Linked DNA regions of Oryctolagus cuniculus. The protein of the gene in region 2 interacts with the protein of the main gene of each other region in a pairwise test. Links are inferred from orthologs where the notes say so. Each region holds a gene or a part of one and is shown on either strand. Other genes may lie near its edges.

Region 1 (4,254 bases), on a different chromosome or scaffold from region 2:
GTCCAAGGGCTCGGGCCCCTGCACTCACATTGGAGATGAGGAAGAAGCTCCCAATTCTGGCCCAGTCTGGCCCAGCCCTGGACATTTTGGCCGTTTGGGGAGTGAACCAGAGATTGGAAGATCTCTCTCTCTCTCTCTCTCTCTCTCTCTCTAACTCTGCCTTTCAAATAAATCTTTTTTTTTTTTTTTTTTTTTTGACAGGCAGAGTGGACAGTGAGAGAGAGAGAGAGAAAGGTCTTCCTTTTGCCGTTGGTTCACCCTCCAATGGCCGCCGCGGCCGGCGCACTGCGGCCGGCGCACCGCGCTGATCCGATGGCAGGAGCCAGGAGCCAGGTGCTTTTTCTGGTCTCCCATGGGGTGCAGGGCCCAAGCACCTGGGCCATCCTCCACTGCACTCCCTGGCCACAGCAGAGAGCTGGCCTGGAAGAGGGGCAACCGGGACAAAATCCGGCGCCCCAACCGGGACTAGAACCTGGTGTGCCGGCGCCGCTAGGCGGAGGATTAGCCTAGTGAGCCGCGGTGCCAGCTCAAATAAATCTTTAAAAAAAGAAATTTCCGGCTGGCGCCGAGGCTCAATAGGCTAATCCTCCACCTACCAGCGCTGGCATACCGGGTTCTAGTCCCGGTTGGGGCGCCGGATTCTGTCCCGGTTACTCCTCTTCCAGGCCAGCTCTCTGGTGTGGCCCAGGAAGGCAGTGGAGGATGGCCCAAGTGCTTGGGCCCTATACCCCATGGGAGACCAGGAGAAGCACCTGGCTCCTGCCATCGGATCAGCGCGGTGCGCCGGCCGAGGGCGCCAGCCGTGGCGGCCATTGGAAGCTGAACCAACAGCAAAAGGAAGACCTTTCTCTCTGTCTCTCTCTCTCTCACTATCCACTCTGCCTTTCAAAAAAAAAAAAAAAAAAAAAAAAAAGAAATTTCCTTTCAAAAAATGAAGACCCTTGCTTTTTTGGGGTGATGAACAGAATTTCAAGGCAATAATAGTAATGATAATATATAATATCATGGTTCTAAGTAGTTTATATTAAGTTCTTAAAATGGAATAATATTTTGAAGTAAGACTGTTGTTATGGCCATTATACAGATAACAAAACTGAAGAGCAGAGAGTTTAAGTAACTTGCTGAAGATGTCATAGCTAGTTGGAGGCAGAGTCAGGGTGTGAACCCCAGGCAGATAGACTCCTAAACTCTTCATTGCTGTGGTTTAGTTGTATGTGTGTATATGTCAGATTCAATGTGGCCAGAAAGATATTCTAATTATATAGACCCCCCCTACACCTTTGAACTGGAAATAGAAAATTTCATGGAAGTAGTTAAGAGGAAATACTGAGATTTACAACTTAGGGGAAGGGATATGCAAATTGGAAAGCACGGGAATGGGGTAGAGTAGAGGGGTGGGTTAGCAGTGCAGGCTGGGCAGCTCTGATAGGAATGGAGGAAAGACACTGACACTGGTGACTACAGAGTGGGAAATGTTGGGGGAGTTCCAGGGACCATGGGTGGGTGGTCAGCAAGAAGCCAGGGAGCAGGACATGGAAATAAGGGTCAATAATTCAGAAGAGAATTTTCTGGGAGTCACTGCTCAGGTGGAGAGACCTAGTTACAACACTTAAATGCAAGACTAATTAAGCAGGACCATGGTAAATTGCCCATGAATTATCTGTGTGTCTATATACCTATTTTTTCAATGAAGCGGATGAAACTCTCAATAACGTTTAGATATACTGTAGGAAAATTGTACTATAATCATGTGCTGCTTCATTCACTAAATCTTTCACATTTTTAAGACTCATTCATGCTATTTACCTTGCCCACGGGGAAGTTTTTTTTTTTTTTTTTAAATCTGAGAAATAGCCTTCGCTGCATCAAGTGTTTTAAGATTGTAACCTCATTGCTTCTAAGTTGGAAACCTTCCAGTCTTTTCTGTGTTTGTTGCTGTTTGTGTGAGGAATATGGATAAAAACCAAAACAAAACAAACCAACAAAAACAAGGAAAGGCTTCCCGAGAGAGTAAATATACGTGGCCCCTGACAGCTACAGAAGTAGCCTGTAGTGCAGAAGACAGTGTGCAGCTTGTTAACGCAGGGACGTTAGCTTCTGAGAGCATGTGTGTGTCTGTGTGTGCGCATCTGTGTGTCTCTCTGTGTGTGCCTGTTCGTTTCTGCATCCAGCTTGCGTCACGCCACAGTTATCAGTGTTTCTCAATGACTTCCGTAGGTGAGGAGGATTTCTTTGATGGTTAAAGACCTAAACTTCCGAGACATTAAATGTGCATGATGCCTGGAGGGCTTTCAGCGCTGCACTAAGCATGCATGTCTCATACCCAGAGTAGCCACAGCGCCTGCATTCCCACAATAGCGGCAGCCCTGAGCAGATGCTGCCAGAGTGCTTATCTGGCTGTGCTTTTCACTTTGGGACAAAGTTCTACAGTCATATCTCATGGATTGATTTTTCTCCACACTGTCAAGCCTGAATTGTGACGATCTCATCATGCCATAAAGGGCAGCATGAGCCCAGTTTTTGGGGCTGCTAAGGATTTCATTTTTGCCTTTCCCCCCTCTTTCTGGAGATGTGTATCAGAAAAAGGCTCTGCCTTTAGAGAGAAATTTTCCTGCTCTTGCCAATAATGTGTAACAATATTAAATTTAATGGCAGACCTTGAAGTATATAAAAACTTAAGTCCAGAAAAAGGTAAGATTCATACTACTAATTTTAAGGTAAGTGTGTTAGTCCTAGTAAAAGATGGTAAGCATCTCTTATTTTATTTCCTGTTTAGTTAAGTGGAAGACTTGTTTGAATTCTTGACAATGTATTTGGCATATTCTATTTAACATGAAAGGTAAAGACTTTTGATTAGGCAAAAGTGTTTTTTTCTTGTCTGTGTACTTTTATAGTGCTAGAATTTGCATGCTGACAAATTGAAAGTACATCATTATAATAAAGTGGTCAGTGAGGAAATCATTTGTGTTAGGTTGTAAGTCAAGGTTGCAGACATGCCTAGAAATTTCATTTGTCTGCCACTTGTAAACAGTGGATTTTAATGTAAACACTGTCAAGTTTGAGTAACGATGAATACAGCTGTATTTTAACTTTCTATGGTAATCTGGAGAGAATGATTCCCAATTTATACCAATTAAAGACAGTCATAGGTAGTACAAATAATTGGCTTTATAAAATGAATGGCAGAAGTATTCAGCACAGATAAAATGGAGGCAGAATCCATGTGTCATGTCCTTAAAGACATTCATCTCCAGTAGCATGGGAGAAATATTTCAAGGTATGAGTTAGATCAGGAATTTAAAATACATGGAGATTGTTCTTGAATTCCGAGAAGTGTTCCTGCCTGGTCAGACAGAATAAATGTCAAGAAATGCCTTCTAAACTTATCTTCAGACTGAATTTTGTCTGTCATTTCGGATTATTCATGTGCATCTACTCAAATATAACTTTAGCACCTCAGTGCTTGATCTGAGGGCCTGTCTGGAGATTGTTGTTAGTTTATGCTATCAACTCCAGTGTGCCATGGTCATGGCATCAGCATTGATGCTTGCTTTTTATTCAAAATGCCAGTTGTACCATGGTTGAGATATCCCAAGTATACATGAATTTTATAAGCCTGGGAAGAAGCTTTTATACAGAAATAGGATAGGATTTGGTTTACTTGAGATGTAGTTTGTCAGAAGGATCTGCATTTAGAGTTTTGTCCTTTAATGTATTTATAAACTGTTTTGTATGCAGAATGTAAAAGTAAATGTAATTACATAGTGTACTGTCAGGATTGTCTGGTATTACGTATCATGGGAGTAATGATGAAAGTGACTTCTCTAACTTTCACTTCATAATGTGGTCTTTAAGATAAAATTAAAGTTAAAGTAAAGCTATATCTGAAACATTATGGTAACTTGAATGAATTATTTAGTCACATAAGCTTTTAAAGCTGATAAGTATAAGGTGTATTATTTTTATAGTAGATGTTTTCACTCACAAATGGTTTTACTAGAGTTTATTAATTGAATATTTATTTCAGAGCTTACAAAGAAATATTAATATCACATATTTCATATTTTGTCTTCATAGAAATAGATTTTCTATTTAATGATTTATAGAGTGAGAAATTTCCTTTACTGATTTTTTTGATATTAAAATTATCTTAGTCACCAGCAAGACTATTCTTCAAATCTTTCTTCTGAACTCTAGATTAATTTTAAGAGGAACATCTTAAATTATACAAACTATGAGTGTATAAAATTAATA
Region 2 (3,511 bases):
CCTCACTGGAGACATTGGTGACTTCCTCCAGCAGGGAACAGGGTCACAGGAGTGGGAAAGGAGGGGTGTGTGCTCCAGTGTAGGAAACCCATCTGCCTGGAAACGAAGCCAAACTTGAGAGAACCATGGCGGAACAGTCTTCCAGTATAAAAATGAGGCTTTCTGAAGTGCTACCTCCATGCACGTGTGTCACTGCCTCTGGGACCTGGTGTGTTCTCGTAAGGAGTTGGAGAACTAACAGCCTTTCTAGTCCCTGCAGACCCCACTAGCTACCCCACCCTACTCTTACTACTTTTCTGAAACCTGAAGAACACTCCTTGACCAGAGTAAACTGTGCTAGGTGAGAAACCAAGTAAGAATCAGTCCAGTCTGGAAATGAGAGTTCTTCCACAAGACTGGGTTGACTGTGTTCCTGCTCCTGGGCCACTGCTTCCTCCTCATTCCAGCCCTGTTCTCTGGATTAATTCAGGCGGTTCTGTTGAGGAAAGGCTGTGGAAAAATGGATCTGGAGGCCAGGTCTGAGGAGAGTGGGCCCTTGGGCTGCTTGGAGAACAGGATCTTGTGTCTCTCCCTCCTGGGGAAGTTGGGATCCAGGGCTCATTTGCACTGAACTCATCTTGGGGCAGGACACAGGTGCTGGGAGGAGGGGATAGCCATGGGGATTAAGGAAGCACTGCTCACTGGCCTCTGCACATTTCTAGAGCAGAGAATCTCATCACCTGAGCTCTACGATGAGAGTACTGTGTGAACTCACAGTCATCTGAAAACCACCAACTCTAAAATCACTGCTGCTTTGGTTTGGTGTTAATCATGATATGTGGTTAAGATTTTTGTGTGCATCAACAGGAACGCAGGTCTCTGTGTTTGCTTTTCTATTACCTAAGATCACAGAATCCCCAGCTTCCTGCCACTGAAAATGCAAGTTCCCTAGGGCAGAGACGGCATGTTAGGAAAGCCAGTGTCACGGTGTGGTTACCAGCTTACGCTGACCATCTGTCAGTGACTTGCTGCCAGCCACTGCACTACGTGTGTCACTTCTGTCCTGTGCTTCGACCCTCACCCACACTCTCTGAGAAAGACACTGTTGTTGCCCCACTCGACAAAGGTAACGGAGGCTCCCAGAGCCACAGAGATATTTGTGTGCTAGCATCGAGAAGCAGCAATCAACTTGGTTACTAAAGATGAAGCTCTGCAATTGGCACTAACTCCTGTGGTGCAGCTCAGGATGAGGTCTCTGATGGTCACTGACCCCTGTGGTGCAGCTCTAGGTGAGGCTGTGACCATCACTGACCCCTGTGGTGCAGCTCTAGGTGAGGCTGTGACCATCACTGACCCCTGTGGTGTGGCTGTAGATGAGGCTGTGACCATCACTGACCCCTGTGGTACGGCTCTAGGTGAGGTCACTGATGGTCACTGACCCCTGTAGTGTGGCTCGAGATGAGGGTCTCTGATGGTCACTGACCTCTAATGTGTTTGCTTTTCTGCTTGCTTCCTTTGCCCCGCAGGAGTCACCGTTTGGGAGTTGATGACCTTTGGGTCCAAGCCTTACGACGGAATCCCTGCCAGTGAGATCGCGTCTGTGCTGGAGAAAGGAGAACGACTTCCACAGCCCCCCATCTGCACTATTGACGTCTACATGATCATGGTCAAGTGTGAGTGACTGGAGAGGCCATCCTTGCTCGCCTCATTGCACTTTATCATGCCTGCAAAGGCATTGCTATCCTTGTGCAAACAGTTGAGGCCTCTGTTCCTTAGGGGAAACGTTGCCACATTCTCAAGGCAGGACACCTTCCAGAAACTTCCATAAATGCCTCTGCATGTGTTCCTGAAAGAGCACTTGCTTGACTCATTGAGCAGTGTGACCTGACATTTGCAAACCAAAAAGTAAATCAAAATCTTCCGTAAACTCTTAGGGTAAAATGGTCTATTTTCTGAGTTGCTCAATGAAGTACTAAGCTGTCACATTTTTTGAAGACTGTTACCGGAGAGACAGAATGTTTTTAAAAGCCTAACAATGAGTAACCACAAGAAGCGGCAAGGATCAGCATTGCTGCTGTGACTTACAACTTTGAGTAGATTTATATGAGGCCTTCAACAGTGTGGCGTTTGAATGTTTTAAGCTAGTAGAGAATGTGATCTCTTAATACTTGTTCCACCAGAACCACATGTGCAGTAGGCTCTGGAGCCAACACCACCCAGACAGGAAGCCTTTGACAAGGAAGGCATGAGGGGATTCTGACACAGCTGGTGTCAGTGTCAACACCCCTCTGAACCTCAGACCGCAGGGCTCATCCATTTTAACTTGGTTTGGGTTGCGGAAGCTGGGAAACAGAGAGGTCACCTGATTTGTCTGAGGTCACATAGCAGTCTGGCCTAAAATAGCTTGACATCTGCTTATGGAAAATAAACATGAACCCTCGGAGTCAGTGAGTGCCACTCTGGGGCTGTTTCTCCAACTTAGTTACTCTGGACTGGGATCCTTGAGCCACCAAATGCAGCAGCCTGTCTGTCAAGAGCACCCCAGGTGAGGGGGCTCTCACACAGCTCCTTCCAGTCTGAGTCAGTGCTGACTGAGGGATCTGGGGGAAGCATTGGGTGGGGAGGGCACAACCTGCGGCCCTGAAGGCCTTCCCTTTTCTCTAAGCTGAATCTGGCTTCCAGCTTGAGAGAGTGCTGTGGCTGAATGTCAAGTGGGGGCTTTGGCAAATGCTAGGTACCCCAGGTCAGAGCTGCTCACAGACAGGACTGCAAGTCACAGGGGCACTAGACGCCAACCCTAGGAGGAATAGATAGAGAAAAGTTTAGAAGATCTGATTCTGATTCAGATTGAGAATGCTGTCCTGCCATGCCAGGAGTGAGGAGTCCAGCACAGAGCCCAGCTTTGCTCACCACTGTCCTTTCTCCGTTTCCTTCCTCAGGCTGGATGATAGATGCTGACAGTCGCCCAAAGTTCCGGGAGTTGATTGTGGAATTTTCCAAAATGGCCCGAGACCCTCAGCGTTACCTTGTCATTCAGGTACCAGACCACAGCAGTGCCTGTTGTACTGAGCATCAGAGTCCCTGTGTCCCCACACTCCCATTGTTGGCTCCTGGTGCAGTGGAGCAGCCTCAGCTGAGGTACACTGAACATGAAGCCCAAGTTTTGGTGGCCAGCAAACCTCTCTTTACCTCCTTGACTGGCCTCTTTCCCCTAGGTCCATCAGGCAACCTCTCCACCAATCCCCTTCCCTAGTAGGGGAATAGCAAAGCCAGATCGTGGGGCTGTCTCAAGGATTTGGTGAAATCATTTTTGTATAGTATTCTTCAGGCCATGTCACAGCACAACGCTCCCGTAAACGACACCCCTCCCCTTCTGAGCCGCCTTCTCTGTGTGCATCTCAGAGACTTTTTGATGCTTGGTTTCAAAGCATCCATGTGCAGTGGGGTGAGCATCTTTCTTCAGAGAACAAGAGGGGTTACTATGACTAAAGTGGCAAACAGAGGCACCTGCTGACTGGTAGACCTAATCCTG
Region 3 (4,145 bases), on a different chromosome or scaffold from region 2:
CTCCTCTCCCCAGGGCAGAGCATGCCCAGTTACTCTTTGGCACAGGACCTGGGAAGGAGCGCTTGGCCTAGACCACCTGGATTGAAGTCCCCAGCACCCACTGAGGTGAGGCTATCACCAGCCCATGCACCATTGTCCAGGTGCCGGGCCTGGGACTAAATGTGTGCCTCACTTAAGCTCGCAACCGGCTAGGGAGGCAGGAGCATGACATGACAGTGGGCTCCTTACATTGTGTATAAGATGTAGAGTGTGTGTGGCCAAAGCTACCCTTGAAAAACCTTCAGGAAGGCACCATGCAGGGACTGTCATAGCATTGCTCAGTAAGGCAACAAAGCTTGATTCTTTCCCAAAGCACCAGCACTGGTGGCTATGTGTGTGTGTGTGAGAGAGAGAGTGAGTGTGTAGAACCGAGTGAAGTAGCTCTATTTTGTTCAGAGGCCACTGCTGCATTGCACAAATGCATTGCCTTTTAGACCCTGGCTTGGCTGTCTGACAACAAGTTGCTCCGTCTATAGAAATGCACAGTCTGAGACTGGTGAAGAAATTAGAAGATTCCTACTCCTGTCTCCAGGGAATGTGCTTTTTGATTGAAACACATGATGTCATCAACAGTGAATAAAACATGAGCTGTAAACACACAGTGGAATCCAAGGCACCAGCTGTAGCAATTGTCACTTCTAGCTTTCTGATTTTTTCATTTGAAGGTTCTCAAGTTAAATGCATCTATTTGTTATGTGTGTATAAGGCAATTCCTCTGCTTTCCTATTTTACATATAGGGAAACTGAGCTCCCCAGATTTTAAGTCCTTGCCTAAGGTTGCACAGCACAGAGAAGCTCCCATCAGAAGGGAACCCGGGTTGGCCCAGGGTAGCGCCTTGCTCAGCCTTGGATGCCTGACGCACTACAGACTCACCCTCTCATTTCAATGGTAGCAGGCAGAGACTGCTAGAGACTAGGGCTGAGAGAAGAGGGAAGAAGGGGCATCATGCATGCGTCCCCCCACACCACAGCTCCCTGTTGCTGGAAGTTGTCTATATTTTAGGTCAATTGTCAGATGAATAGATATTCATCTGCAAAGCCCCAGCAGAGCAAGAACGTGGTGTAGACCCATGGGGTGGGGCTGAAGGGACAGGAGTTTTAACAGCAAAATGCTTGGGCTGGCTTCGGAGTTTAAGCGCCCTTCATGGCCCCTCCTGCTGGGCAGGGGTGCCCAGGACCACGGGCGAGGTGGAGAATGACCTGCCCTGTCACTCTGTCTGCATCTCAAGCCCTCAGAGCTGGGCTTCCTTGTTTACTTATTTAGAAGCCAGCAGAGGAAGTGGTAAAGGAAACTAGCCAAGTCGTTTTCTGAGAAGAGACCATATTTGTTCGCAGAGGAAGCTGCTGCTTTCTGGGATCCGACTACAGCAGAAAAGACGTCTGCTCCAACAAGGCCGATCCAGGGGCAGCTGGGAGTTGGGAGAGCCAAGGACGCCTCCAAGATCTGGATTTGGGGTTCTCTGTCCATGGGTGCAGCATCCACGCTCAACCTGTGAGCCCCCTCCTAAGACAGCGGCCATGGCACTGAGGAACGTGCCCTTTCGCTCCGAAGTCCTCGCCTGGGACCCTGACAGCCTTGCTGACTACTTTAAGAAGGTGAGACCCACTCTTTTGTTGGTGGTCGGGCTGGGAGTGCCCTCCATGGGCTGGGCAGAAGACAAGAGGTGTAAAAGACAGCTGTGGAGTGACTGGCCTCTCGGCAGCCTTGTTGGGAGAGTGAGCGCCATGGGAGACCACTGAGAGCTCCTTGCAGTGAGTTCTGGAGAGGAGGGTGGGAGCAGGAGCTCTTGAATGAGTAGGTGCCTACCATGTGCCAGGGCCTGAACTCGGTACACTGCAGCACTGTGCCATTGATCCCTCTTGACAATCTTCTGAGGTCAATATTGTCATCCCTGTGGCTCAGCTTCAAGGTAGGCTCAAGGAAGCTAAACAGCCCAAAGCCACAGGGACTACAGGTGGTAGTGACAGAAGGATTGGAGTCACTTCTGTGCAGTTTCAGTCTGTGCTCTGAGATGAAGAGAACTACATTCTAGAAAGGGGAGACCTGGTGCTCTGGGTGCAGAACAACAGGCAGGGAAGGAGGCAGGGGTAGAGGGTGAACAACGCTAGACATGGCGTTTGGCCACTCACTGCTCAGGGCCCAGAAAGCTGGGTCCTCAAGTTCTTACATAGATCAGAGTCTCACTGCAGTGGAGCCGGGACCAGGGTTGCTGTCCTACCTTCCAGACTTGGAAGAGATGCTCAAAGATCGTCTGCTTGTCCACCTGCTGGTGGGGATGACAGGACACAAGCCTGCCCGAGCAAGTATGGATCCTCTGTTCCTGTCTCTAGCATAGGATGCCTTGCAGGGGACATTTGCTCTCTTTTTTAAGATTTATTTATTTGTTTGAAAGTCAGAGTTACACAGAGAAAGGAGAGGCAGAGAGAGAGGGAGAGAAAGAGCGAAAGAGGTCTTCCATCTGCTAGTTCACTCCCCAGTTGGCTGCAACGGCCGGAGCTATGCCAATCCAAAGCCAGAAGCCAGGAACTTCCTCCAGGTCTCCCATGTGGGTGCAGGGGCCCAAGGACTTGGGCCATCTTCTACTGCTGTCCCAGGCCATAGCAGAAAGCTGGATCGGAAGTGCAGCAGCCCATATGGGATGCCGGCGCTTCAGGCCAGGGCGTTAACCCACTGTACCACAGCACCAGCCGAAGGGACATTTGCTCTTCTAACATCCTCTTCCCTGCAGGCTGGCACCACATTTAGTTGATACTGCAGACCAGCATAAAGAAGAGCTTGTAGCACTAAGACTTTACATGTCATCTCACTTAACTGTTTTTCCTGGGGAAACTGAGCCCCGCGGGGGTGGAATAGGCTCTCTGGGACACATAGCTGAACCTGAGGTCTCATAGTACCAAGGTATTTGCAGTGATGATGGTTCTTCCCCAGCCTAAAAACAAAAACCTTGAACCAGGTGTGGCATGGTAGGGGCACAGCCCCACAGAGCCTGTCGTTTTCTGTTTCTTGTGCATTTCACTTCTGTTGTCCCCTCTGCCTCCACCCCACACATGTATAAAGTCATAACAAAACTAGGTTTTGGGTTTGTAGATGCAAAGATCATTGGACAACTGGCCCGACTGGCCTTTGAAGAGTGTTTCTAATACTTCTCTGAGATAGGGCGATCAAAGGTAAAATTTGCCCAGATGGAAGTATGTGGTACGTTATTGCAATAAAGAAGGGAGAAAGGAGTTGAGAGTTACAGAGGGAAAGGCCCAGGAGAGGCTGAGGGGCTATTTCAAATGTGGTCAGAAAAATTTCACAACTCAGCTGACCGACAGAGAGTCTGTAGACAAAGTTCCTGTCAGCGCAGGGCGATAGGACAGACTGGAGGGCAGGACACAGCTCTCTGTCTGAGTTCGGGGAAGAGATGATTCTCTTCTTGGAGTTCTAAGACCTTGCAAAAACTGCATAGCACTGGGCCAGGTTCCCCTCCCGGCACAAAAGGACCCAGGTAGGAACAAGGAGGCAGAGGGGAATCTGTGACCCTGGAAGTCCCAGGCCATCTCAGTCCCCAAGAGACAGAACCAGGAGCGCACTGACTGCAAGTTCATTTGGGGATGGATCTTAGTGATCAAGCATACCCATTTAACGCATCAGTGGGTAGGCGTTTGGTGGGTGCAGCTTCTACCCACGTGTCAGGGTCAGGCTTCCCTCAGTGATACCACGCTGCCCAACTCTGGAGTCAGACACACCTTGTTGGAACCCTGGCTCTGCCACCTGCTAGTTTGGTGGCCTTCCCTTAGCTACTTCGCCTCTCTGAGCAAGTCAGTCCTCAAGAGAGAAAACATTGCTCAACACAGGGTCATCTGGGGATGGATCTTGGAAATAAAATGTATCATTTCACGGGTTGATTGGTAGATGATTGGAAGGCAATTGGTAGGCACAAGTTCTACCAAAGCAGGCAATTAAACAGACATGAAGGGTAACAAACCCAGTGGAATGGTTGAGAGGAGTAAAGGAAATAGTGTATGTGAGGCATTCAGCAGACAGAGGTATCAAAATGTTTATTGCTCCCAGTTTCCTGCTGTGTTAACTGGCCACTCATTGGTATGTGGATCGCAGGGCT
Region 4 (3,985 bases), on a different chromosome or scaffold from region 2:
GCCAGGGTTTCTAACTGTTGAAGCTGGATACCGTTCTTTTTGTGTCTTTTCAGAGTCACTATCATAAACAGTTAAAAGACTAATGCTGAAACCTTGTTCATACAATCAAGTACAAATGATTAAGAATTAATTATTAGGTGGGAGCCAGCGCTGTGGTGCAGCAGGTTAACACCCTGGCCTGCAGTGCCAGCATCCCATATGGGTGTCGGTTCGAGACCCGGCTGTTCCAATTCCCATCCAGCTCTCTGCTGTGGCCTGGGAAAGCAGTGGCAGATGGCCCAAGTCCTCTCTCTCTGTCTCTACCTCTCTCTGTAACTCTTTCAAATAAATAAAAATAAATCTTTAAAAAAAAGAATTAACGATAAAAATATAAAAATGGAAACTTTCTTGCCAAGTGTGAAGTCCAGGTACATATTTAGACCAAAAATAGTTGCCTTGCAGCCAAATCAGCACTTCTTAAGAAAAATCCCTGACTTCTAGGTTACCTGAGACATCAGGGAATAACTGGTTACTAACAATCACTTTGCCTGATATTTTAGCCAGAAACCTGATTTTATTTTAAATAGAAACATTCAATTCTACTCTTTAACACTTATTTCAAAGTTATGCCCTTTCACTAAATTATTTTAAAGTCCCAGGATCCTGAAAGTTAAATCCTCAGGCAAATGAAAGCTTTCCACAGAAGTCTATGCCAAAATAGGATTTTTTTTAACCCCACTGGTTACTTCTGAAGAGAATAAAAGGTTAAATGGAGGAAAGCATTACACAGATTGAGTGTTGTTGTTTCAGAACGAATTAGAAGCCAGAGGAGCACAGGCAGGGCTGGGGGCCCCAGGGAAGCATCGTCTTGTGAGGGATTGTGCTGCAGAGCAGGGACTCTGGGCTTTTCTTCCTCTGTGAAAACAGGTGTCTTCGCTGCTCCTTCCAGGGCCCCAGGGACAATTCAGTAAGCACCTGAGCAGGCCGGGCTCCCACCCACAGTCCGTCCTGGAGGACCACAATCCCGCAACCAGGCTGAATGAGGTCTGTATTTGGCTAGGCTCACAACAACAACAACAACAACAAACAGCTACTGCCAATATTGAGAAATCAGGAGAGTGCAGGTGCAACTGTGGATTGAAGCTTCTTTTAGAAAATTGCTGGGCGAGGGGCTCCTCCTCCAGGGTCCCCACCACTACACGCTCCCACACCTGGCCAACGCCACACAGCGTTAGGTTCCTTCCTTGGCCCTGCCCTTTCACACTCTTTGCACCTCTCCTGGCCTGGCAAGCGTGGAGGCCCACCAGCACCACCTGTTGCTCCACCCTTCCGCAGGCATCATCCACTGTCCTGGAACCAACCCTGTGCGTCATGCCTTTTCCACGGGGCTCCCAGGCTCTCTGGGGGAAGGGACCCTGTCGCTCTCTCCTTTGTGTCCCTAGGGCCCAGCAAAAAGCATGACCTAGATAATGGAGAATTCAGTGGCTGTCTCCTGGATTTACTAGGAGGTCGTTAGAGCTAAACCATTATAAAGATGTAACATTTTATATCATAGCTCGTTACCATAGTTACCAAATAAAGAGGTCAAGGACGTTAAGATGTTCTACAAAATGAGAACAAGCTTCCGAGTTTCACAAGTCACTCAGAAGTCACTAAATGAACAGGTAAAGCAGAGACAACAGGTAGGCACGCTCCTTACATCATTCATTCATTCGCTGAACTGAGACTATCAAATACTTACTGTATGCTTTCTATAAGTACCAGGAGAAAGCAGACAAATCAGACAACTACCTGTTTACAGAAAGCTACAGCCTAGTGGGGGAAGACAGAAAAGGAGAGGCAAATAAATAGAACAGTTTCAACTCAGAGTGCTAGGAAGAAAATGAAACAAAATAACAAGACAGAATGATCCCTTGCAGAGGGTAGCCGAGGAAGGCCTCGCTGAAAATGAGACATCTGGACAGAGCAAGGAACAAAAAGGTCCTGGACGCGACGTAAACAGGAGAGGCAGCAGGTGCAAAGTCCCGGGGACACGGAGGTTAGCAAGTTCCTGGCAGGTGGGAGGATTAGCGGGCCCAGGGAGCAGTGCTCTGGGGAAGAGCTGTGGTGGGCAGGGCCTGCTCCGCGTAGCTGAGCACTGGGCGCGCAATGACAAGGCACAGGATGGGTGGGGAGGGGGCCCCCACCACACTCACGCCAGCAAGGGGCAGTATCCGGCCCTATAGTCCACCAGTGTGCACAGACTTGCGTCCAGGTGCTCCCACAGACAGCCCAGTCTTGAAGATCAGACATGGCCCCACTTTCCCGAAGGGGCAGCCAGCGCCTAATCCAAGGTCGCGGGGACCACCGAGCATCCGGGGCGAGAGGGCAGCTGCGCGGCCCGCCTGGAGGAGGGGGCCACAGACCCCCGCGGGCAGGTCTGCGGGGCCAGGTTCCGCGGTCCTCGCCGCTGGCAGCGGGCGGGAGGGGGCGACTGCGGCACGGGCGGGCAGGGGCTGCGGCCCGCCAGCAACCCCGCGGCTCCCGCCAGCCCCGGAGGCCCGGCCCCAGAGGCCCCGCGCCCACCCCGCTCCCCGCCGCGCCCGACCCCAGCACCCACGCCGGGCCTAGCCAGCCCTTCGGGCTCACCTCGCCTCCCTGCAGCCGCGCCGGGGTAGAGGGCGGGCGGGCGCACTGGCGGCGCTGCGCGCTGGCCGCTCCCGGCTAGGCTGGCCGCCCCGCCCCGCCCCGCTCCGCCCCGCCGCCGCCGCCGCAGTGGGTGTGAGGGGCGCGGGGCGCTTCGACCCTTCCGGTCGGCTCCCTTCCCCTCAGCCGCCGCCGCCGCCGCCGCCGCGGCGCCCGGCCTGACCGATCCGTGACTCCACCAATCAGTGCGCGGAGAGCCCGGCGGGTGCGGCCAATCGCGCTAGGGGGCGGGCCGCTGTCGGGCGACTCGGGCGGGGCCAGGCCAGGCCGGGTCTGCGTCCGAGGTCTGGTGCAGGGTCCGGAGGCGGCGTGGGGCAGTGCCGGCGTGTAGCGGCGTGTAGTGGGCTGGAGAGACGGGCGTGGCTGAGGTCGCCCGATGACCCCTCTCTCCGGGCAAAGAGGGTCCGCAGAGCTGCGGCCGAACGCCGAGCCGGGAGGAGGCGAGAGAGGATGGGCCGCAGGCGAGGCGCGGCGCCTCAGGACCGGGGCTACTCGTGGGTCCGAGCCCCGGGGCTGCAGGTGCAGGCGCCCAGCAGCGAGGCGACCTGGAAGGAGACAGGAGGAGGGAGGCGCGGCGCCTGGGACTCAGCTCGCTGCGGACGTGCCGCACGCACGCCCCACTGGACGGGTTTAGGGGTGCGGCCAAAGGTCAGGGTTCAGGCGCAGGGTGCGAGGAGATGACCGTCGTGCACCAGTCTTCCCGGCCGACAGGAGCAGGAGGGAGTGTGCTGGCTGACAGGGCTCAGGGGGAGCAGAAGGGCCCCCTAGGGACCGGACAAGTACAGCTGGGATGAGGGGCGGAGGCGGGGCTCCCCGAGGGAAAAGCTCCGAGGCCAGTCGTGGGCTAGGGGCGTCGGATTTCGGGCACCGATAGAGTTGGGGACCGTGATTGATAAGTGGTGAGTAAGGAGCTGGGGCAGCAGTCCCGGGACGCCGAGGTCCACAGAGCAGGGGGAGTAGCAGGACCCTGCAGGTCTGGGGTGGAGTGTTGCAGAATCTGGGGAGAGAAGCGAGCCTGTGACCCAGGTTCTGAAGGGCCGGGCTCGTGCAGGCACCACGGCCTCAGAGGAGGGGTGGGGCAGAGAACGGGATCTAGCCGTGGTGTCCTCCCATGGCCGCCAGGGGGAGTTTTCTAAAATTGAGTATCACTAATCCCGGCTCCTGAACGTGGTCTGCATTGAAATGGACCCATCTGGTGGGCTCCTGCCACCTGCCTCAGCTAGCTGCTCAGGAGAAAACAGGGAACCTAAAATTGCCGTTACTGAAAAAGATGAGAAACTAGTAAAAGCCGGGCTATCAGAGATGAGGTCCCAACAAGGAG

The links.
Region 1: the proteins of EGFR (region 2) and PLCH1 interact in a protein complementation assay, tested with the Homo sapiens proteins (2 studies listed by IntAct). The link is inferred for Oryctolagus cuniculus from reciprocal best matches to the Homo sapiens genes EGFR and PLCH1.
Region 3: the proteins of EGFR (region 2) and LCP2 interact in binary tests that used the Homo sapiens proteins (3 or more experiments, as listed by UniProt). The link is inferred for Oryctolagus cuniculus from reciprocal best matches to the Homo sapiens genes EGFR and LCP2.
Region 4: the proteins of EGFR (region 2) and MAPK9 interact in a protein complementation assay, tested with the Homo sapiens proteins (3 studies listed by BioGRID and IntAct, with this or other methods). The link is inferred for Oryctolagus cuniculus from reciprocal best matches to the Homo sapiens genes EGFR and MAPK9.

The regions. Positions count from the first base shown.
Region 1 is NC_091435.1:125,274,398-125,278,651, forward strand, and holds the start of PLCH1 (1-phosphatidylinositol 4,5-bisphosphate phosphodiesterase eta-1), read left to right. Parts: upstream 1-1,453; 5' UTR 1,454-1,952; coding exon 1,953-2,217; intron 2,218-2,244; exon of another isoform or gene 2,245-2,648; coding exon of another isoform or gene 2,649-2,691; intron 2,692-4,254. UniProt on the Homo sapiens protein: The production of the second messenger molecules diacylglycerol (DAG) and inositol 1,4,5-trisphosphate (IP3) is mediated by calcium-activated phosphatidylinositol-specific phospholipase C enzymes.
Region 2 is NC_091447.1:57,876,126-57,879,636, forward strand, and holds part of EGFR (epidermal growth factor receptor), read left to right. Parts: intron 1-1,505; coding exon 1,506-1,652; intron 1,653-2,918; coding exon 2,919-3,016; intron 3,017-3,511. UniProt on the Homo sapiens protein: Receptor tyrosine kinase binding ligands of the EGF family and activating several signaling cascades to convert extracellular cues into appropriate cellular responses.
Region 3 is NC_091437.1:57,184,411-57,188,555, reverse strand, and holds the start of LCP2 (lymphocyte cytosolic protein 2), read left to right. Parts: upstream 1-1,344; 5' UTR 1,345-1,557; coding exon 1,558-1,635; intron 1,636-4,145. UniProt on the Homo sapiens protein: Adapter protein primarily involved in signaling pathways within T-cells, as well as other immune cells such as platelets, mast cells, and natural killer (NK) cells.
Region 4 is NC_091437.1:67,213,684-67,217,668, reverse strand, and holds the start of MAPK9 (mitogen-activated protein kinase 9), read right to left. Parts: upstream 2,802-3,985; 5' UTR 2,608-2,801; intron 1-2,607. UniProt on the Homo sapiens protein: Serine/threonine-protein kinase involved in various processes such as cell proliferation, differentiation, migration, transformation and programmed cell death.